2 linked regions of the Xenopus tropicalis genome follow. The protein of the gene in region 1 purifies or fractionates together with the protein of each later gene. This does not show direct contact. Links are inferred from orthologs where the notes say so. Each region holds a gene or a part of one and is shown in the gene's direction. Other genes may lie near its edges.

What was found.
Region 2: the proteins of pinx1 (region 1) and tert purify together in Homo sapiens (co-immunoprecipitation; 3 studies listed by BioGRID and IntAct, with this or other methods). This does not show direct contact. The link is inferred for Xenopus tropicalis from reciprocal best matches to the Homo sapiens genes PINX1 and TERT.

The regions. Positions count from the first base shown.
Region 1 is NC_030681.2:151,067,404-151,071,157, forward strand, and holds the start of pinx1 (PIN2/TERF1-interacting telomerase inhibitor 1), read left to right. Parts: upstream 1-1,240; 5' UTR 1,241-1,355; coding exon 1,356-1,374; intron 1,375-2,790; coding exon 2,791-2,900; intron 2,901-3,585; coding exon 3,586-3,678; intron 3,679-3,754. UniProt on the Homo sapiens protein: Microtubule-binding protein essential for faithful chromosome segregation. Mediates TRF1 and TERT accumulation in nucleolus and enhances TRF1 binding to telomeres. Inhibits telomerase activity. May inhibit cell proliferation and act as tumor suppressor.
Region 2 is NC_030682.2:58,796,859-58,800,512, reverse strand, and holds part of tert (telomerase reverse transcriptase), read left to right. Parts: intron 1-54; coding exon 55-116; intron 117-1,326; coding exon 1,327-1,451; intron 1,452-2,263; coding exon 2,264-2,401; intron 2,402-3,654. UniProt on the Homo sapiens protein: Telomerase is a ribonucleoprotein enzyme essential for the replication of chromosome termini in most eukaryotes. Active in progenitor and cancer cells. Inactive, or very low activity, in normal somatic cells.

The DNA.
Region 1 (3,754 bases):
TAACTCAGGAAGCGCACCGGGGACTCAAGCCGCTCCGTCTTGGACATGGGCTGGGGAGATTGCTATGGAGCTCACCCATAGTAACTGTAATGAAGGTCCTGTTAACTTTCAACTTTAAATTAAAGTAACACTGACACGGGAAAACATGTTTGTTACAAACCCGTCAGTTAATAGAGCTTCTCCAGCAGAATCCTGCATTGTAATCTGTTTTTCCCATGGGGCTAGCCATATTCTTCATTTCCCAGGGTGCCACAGCCATGTGACCTGTGCTCTGATAAACTTCACTCACACTTTACTGCTGCGCTGCAAGTTGGAGTAATATCCCCCCTCCCCCACCCCTCCCCCCCAGCAGCCGATCAGCAGAACAATGGGAAGGGAGCAAGATAGCAGCTCCCAGTAGGTATCAGAATAGCACTCAATAGTAAGAAATCCAAGTCCGGCTTGGGACTCCTCCAGTTACATGGGAGTAGGAGAAACAATAGGTTAGCTGAAAGCAGTTCTAATGTGTAGCGCTGGCTGAAAGCTCAGACTCAGGCACACTTTACTGCTGCGCTGCAAGTTGGAGTGATATCCCCCCCCTCACCCCCAGCAGCCGATCAGCAGAACAATGGGAAGGGAGCAAGATAGCAGCTCCCAGTAGGTATCAGAATAGCACTCAATAGTAAGAAATCCAAGTCCGGCTTGGGACTCCTCCAGTTACATGGGAGTAGGAGAAACAATAGGTTAGCTGAAAGCAGTTCTAATGAGTAGCGCTGGCTGAAAGCTCAGACTCAGGCACAAGGCACTGAGATGGCGCCTACACACCAATATTACAGCTACAAATACATTTGTTGGTACAAGAATAAAAGGTTAAATGGCAGAGGGAATTATTTGCTGTGTAACAGTGTCATTTAGAGATACAAAGTGTCCCATAAATAACATGGCAGGGTCCCTTTGAAGGGGAAGTGGTGTAACGCACACACGGATACCCTATAGAAATGTGCACGTTTTATTGATATTCGCCTTTCTCATTTACCTCACGCTAGAGCAAAACAAACACCAAGCAGCCAAAAGGCGAATGTATAGAATCGGTTTATACCGATACAGACTGCAGAGGTTCAGTTTCACAGTCCCGCTATAACACTCCGCATTCTGCTCAATACTAGGGCTGTTACTGGGCGGCAGGAATATATATAGCGTTTACCAGTGGCCCCGCCCCTTTACTGGCGCTCACGTGACTAACAGCAGCTTCTGTGCCCGGCCTTACGTCATCAACACGCTGTGTCGCGGTCACTGTGACGCGGGATTATTTCCTTTTTCGCCCAGCTGTGCCCTGAGGAACATCTATCCCGGCAGTGCCCTCCAGCTCCGGGACCATGGCAATGCTGGCAGAGCGTAAGTGTGGCCCGGGGGCCTGCCATTAGCCTTGCACTCTGCCCCTTGCACTGCTGCAGCACCAAGTGTGTCAGTGGGGGGGCAGCCATGTGTCTTACACACCATGTGACTCTCTGTGTGGCTCCCCTGCTGCTGAACTACAACTCTTAGTAACACTGGGAATGCTGGGAGTTGTAGTTACTATGATTTCATTTCCCAGGGTGCCACAGCCATGTAACCTGTGCTCTGATAAACTTCAGTCTCACTTTACTGCTGCGCTGCAAGTTGGAGTGATATCCCCCCCACCAATGCTTTCTAACAGAAACAATCATTGTTGTGGCAACTTAAAGGGACCCTGCCATGATATTTATGGGGTACTTTTTATTTCTAAATGACACTGTTACACCGCAAATAATTCCCTCTGCCATTTAACCTTTTATTCTTAAACCAACAAATGTATTTGTAGCTGTAATATTGGTGTGTAGGCGCCATCTCAGTGCCTTGTGCCTGAGTCTGAGCTTTCAGCCAGCGCTACCCATTAGAACTGCCTTCAGCTAACCTATTGTTTCTCCTACTCCTATGTAACTGGAGGAGTCCCAAGCTGGACTTGGATTTCTTACTATTGAGTGCTATTCTGATACCTACTGGGAGCTGCTATTTTGCTCCCTTCCCATTGTTCTGCTGATCGGCTGCTGGGGGGGAGGGGGGGGGATATCACGCCAACTTGCAGCGCAGCAGTAAAGTGTGCCTGAGTCTGAGCTTTCAGCCAGCGCTACACATTAGAACTGCTTTCAGCTAACCTATTGTTTCTCCTACTCCCATGTAACTGGAGGAGTCCCAAGCCGGACTTGGATTTCTTACTATTGAGTGCTATTCTGATACCTACTGGGAGCTGCTATCTTGCTCCCTTCCCATTGTTCTGCTGATCGGCTGCTGGGGGTGAGGGGGGGGGATATCACTCCAACTTGCAGCGCAGCAGTAAAGTGTGCCTGAGTCTGAGCTTTCAGCCAGCGCTACACATTAGAACTGCTTTCAGCTAACCTATTGTTTCTCCTACTCCCATGTAACTGGAGGAGTCCAAAGCCGGACTTGGATTTCTTACTATTGAGTGCTATTCTGATACCTACTGGGAGCTGCTATCTTGCTCCCTTCCCATTGTTCTGCTGATCGGCTGCTGGGGGTGAGGGGGGGGGGGATATCACTCCAACTTGCAGCGCAGCAGTAAAGTGTGAGTGAAGTTTATCAGAGCACAGGTCACATGGCTGTGGCACCCTGGGAAATGAAGAATATGGCTAGCCCCATGGGAAAAACAGATTACAATGCAGGATTCTGCTGGAGAAGCTCTATTAACTGCTGGGTTTTGAAAAAAACATGTTTTCCCATAACAGTGTTACTTTAATGGCACATTTGGGGTATAACCTGCGCTGTTGCCTTTAGCCCGTAGGAAACAGAAATGGTCGGTAGACCCAAGAAACAGCGCCTGGAGTAAGGATGAGTCCAAATTTGGCCAGAAGATGCTGGAAAAGATGGGCTGGTCCAAAGGCAAGGTAGGTAGCTCTTTATACCGCCACAACTCGAGTCATCATGGTAACTTTATTAGCCATTTCTTTCACTCTGGGGGAGGGGCAACTTTTTGGGGATATGGAAATGTAAAAGAAATAAACGCTAAACACTGAACTTCTCTGGGATGATTTAGGTCAATAAGGGGGGTGGAGCCCTGGTCACAGTATAAACGCCCCCTATGTTAAAGGGGTGGTTCACCTTTAACTTAACTAAACTTTTATTATGTTATAGAATGGCCTATTCCTAGCAGCTTTGCAGTTGGTCTTCATTATTTTTTTTATCATTTTTGAATGATTTACTTTCTACTTCTACATCTTTCCAGCTTTCAAATGGGGGTCACTGACCCCGACAGATAAAAACGATTGCTCTGTGAGCTTACAATTTTATAATTTGGTTTTTTTTCTTTCTATTCAGTCCCTCTCCTATTAATATTCCAATCTCTTGTTTAAGCCACTGCCTGGTTGCTAAGGTAAACAAAACCCTAGCTACTAGATAGCAGCTGATATTCCAAATGGCAAGGCTGCTGAACAAAAAGTTAACTGAGAAACCAGAAATAATAAATGAAGACCGATTGCAAATTGTCTCTCATTATCACTGTGTACATCATATTAAGAGTTAATTTAAAGATGAACAACCACTTTAAAGTTTGTCTCTTTTTTTCTCTTATAGGGGCTGGGAGCTAAGGAACAAGGGAGCACAGACCACATCAAGGTGCAAGTAAAGAACAACACTCTGGGACTCGGAGCCTCTATCAACTATGAGGTAATGAACTGCCATAGTCATCTCATTCTGCTACATGCACTCTCTCTGCTCAGTATAGCGGCACTCAGGGAAATGG
Region 2 (3,654 bases), on another chromosome or scaffold:
ATGATAGTTATTTGGTGATTGCGAATATTAATATGTCTCTGCTATTTTCTACAGGTAAATAGTTTAAGGACAGTTTTCATCAATACTTATAAGATATTCTTACTTCAAGCTTACAGGTTAGTGTGCTAATTTATTGCTATTAAGTTAATTTATAAAATGCTGTCATATAAATTATATGGGTATGGGATCTGTAGAATGCTTAGTAAGGGAAGGCCATCTCCCATTGACTCCACATTAAGCCTAATTAATCTAATGGGAAAATTAGGTATAACTCATCTTCCGTTATTGCTGCAATTTGTGTTGTGCCAAAATGAATGCAGCTGCTGTGTTTACTAAGGAGTGATGCTTCTCAGTGGCTGAAATAATAATGAAATGATTGGATGTCACGATCTACAGTAAGTTCAAATAATATATTTTCAATATCAGGCACATATTTCATAATCGCAAAATTTCTTTTTACTTTCTCATTGGTTGTATTGGTTGTATGTTTTTTTAGAGAGCTTCTCCAGCAGCATCCTGCATTGAAATCCTGGAAGATTTTTTTTATATTTAATTTTCACATGGGGCTAGCCTTATTCTTCATTTTTCAGGGTGCCACAGCCATGTGACCTGTACTCTGATAAACTTCAAGTCACACTTTACTGCTGTGCTGCAAGATGGAGTAATATCACCCCCCTCCCTGCAGCCAATCAGCAGAACAATGGGAAGTTAGCAAGGTAGCAGCTCCCAGTAGATATCAGAATAGCACTCAATAGTAAGAAATCCAAGTCCGGCCTGGAACTCCTCCAGTTACATGGTAGTAGGAGAAACAACAGGTTACCAGAAAGCAGTTCTAATGTGTAGCGCTGGCTCCTTCTGAAAGCTCAGACTCAGGCACAATGCACTGAGATGGCTGCCTACACACTACTACACACTACGCTCATTTTAAATTGGTGGAGTGAATTGTTTGCTAAACAGTGTAATTTAGAAATAAACAGTATACTGTAAAAATCATGACCGTATCCTTTTAATAAATTATTATGATAAGTTTGTTTTAGATACAGATGTGTTACATAGTAACATAGTAAGTTGGGTTGAAAAAAGACATACGTCCATGTTATGAAAGATCCTTTTCATTAATCCATACACAAAATCCAAAAATTCAAGTCACCTGTAGTAACCTATAGCAAACATCTTTTTGTTTGTTGTGGGTTATTGCACCTGGGCAAACTTTGTGCCTTTTACAATCAGAAGTTAGAATTCAAAAGAATGAATGCTGGGAATCTTGACATAATGCTGGTTTTGGTGTATTTTTTAAAAACATTGCCTATTTTTGTTTTTATTCAGATTCCATGCTTGTGTTGTTCAGCTTCCATTTGGCCAGCGTGTAATGAATAATCCACCTTTTTTTCTTACTGTGATTTCTGATATGGCACCTTGCTTTTACACTACTTTTAAGTCCAAAAACAAAGGTATGTATAAGTATAGGAAACTGTCACAAAAGGGCAGTAAAATTAAAATGGCTGCATCACTCCATTCTGACTCTGTGATCAGTAGCAGTTAAAAACTATAATCACCACATAGTGTCATTAAGCAAGAATCCTGAATAATGAAAGCTTTACATTTAAGATGGCACTGAACAAAGATTTTGAAAACTTCCAATGCTACACTTAACAGGGTTATACAATTAGAGACACAAATAAAAATTGTAAGAAAAGGTTCAACATCTGCTACTGGTCTAATCACATATAGCAATTATTCACAGGAAGCATTTACTATTTAAAAGCAGTAATCCTATAGTTTGCTATGGATTACTACACCTGGGTATCTGAGCAACGTAGTGCTTTTTATTACATATTGGGGTAAGTTTCCCAGATGCATTAACCCATAGCCAAAAATTAGCCTGGTAGATTTACTGGTCATTGGTTGCTAAGGGTTACTGTAAGCTCAAAGTGCAATGCTTTACAATGTAAAATACATCACAATAACATTGACACTGAAGCCCATTAGATGCCCTAAAGCATAGATTGTTTCTTACTGGTAGAAGGCTACAGGGTATGACAGGAATGTAAAAAATGACAGCTGCACAGCCATCTTATCTTATTGCCAGGCATCCACTAACATTTTGGTTAGCTAAAATATATTTGTCTGTATGAACTGTATAATAAAATTAAAATTACAATGCCTCATTTACGACCACACTTATGGATGCAGCCAACCATGTAAATACTTCTTTTTACATGTAATTTTTACAGCAGTAACCGTTGTGTTCTACCATTTACAGATGTCACACGTGGGTACAAGGATGTGAGCTGCCAGTTTAACTTTGAAGCAGTCCAGTGGCTCAGTTATCAAGCTTTTCTTACTAAGCTTCGCAATCACAAAATATTATACAAATGTCTTATTGGGCCACTGCATAACTGTGAGTGAATGATATGGTATTTAATTATCTTTTTCTAGGATTAATGGTTTCTGCTTTGTACCACCTATGCCTGATACCCCCTACTTAGCTATCCTTTAACTCCCTCTGTGTATGGATAAAATTTTAATTGTTGCTGTATGTAAGCATAGCATTGTAAAAGAGAAGAAGAACAGTCAGTCAGATTACTTTCCCTCATACATAATAATGGGCATAAAATTTGACAGTAACCTGTCTAGAGTTACATTCATCAAACTAGTAACCTATAGCAACCTGTTTGCTTTTAATAAATGCTCCCAATTAGTTTGCTATGGGTGACTAGATCTGTAGCGAACCTTTAAAGCAAAGAAGTGTGGAAATAAAAAACCAGGGTTAATAAGTCATGAGAAACAGACAAGAATAGCAAGCAATGGCGGGCAAGATGCAGCACAGCTGAAAAACAACAGATCCAAAAATTCTTTAAGGGAAAGAGTCAGTGATATCATTAATAATAAAATATTAGACAAGCAAACGCCAGGGTCTCTGGTCAATAACATAAGAAGTGTTTACTAAATTTGTGTGGGCCAAAACACCATGTGGTTTATTATAACTAGTAAGTTTGTCTGTCAGTGTCCTATAAAGCATACTGCCAGATAGCCAGAGGTCTGTCCCTTTGTTCCCCACCCCCTTTTTAAATGTAAGAAAACACCTCCTTTTTAAGTATTGACATTTTTATTTTGATAGTGTATCTTTACCTGTGTTTGCAGCTGGGTATGGTTTTCTTTTAAATACATTAAATGCATACAATACCCAGCAACTGCAAGTGTAATTTCAACTATAACTGTGGTACGATAATTATGTTGGGTTGAAAAACCTAACATACCGTTCTTCGACTTCAGCTTATTCTTCCGCTTTTTCTTATTATTCTTAGCGCCCCCCATTTTCTAAACACTGCTCCTCCTACAGTTTTAGGCGTACAACACCCAAACTCTCCACACTTCTTCACCCTATAGCGGAGCAGGTTGCTTGTGCTTTCTAACTGATCCCGCCTTTTTGTGACGCCGCTCCGAACACCCCAGTTTTCCCATTGACTTTGACAGGGAAGATTTTTAAACTGCTGCCACTCTTACAGCTTCGAAGCTACACTCCCCAAACTTGAATAACATAATAATGGGGTCACCCCGAATGAAACAGCGACATTTGTTGGATGATCCCAAAGTGGGAGGGGCCAACAACAGCAAATCAAATTTCACCCATTTACTTTTCTGTGGAAATTG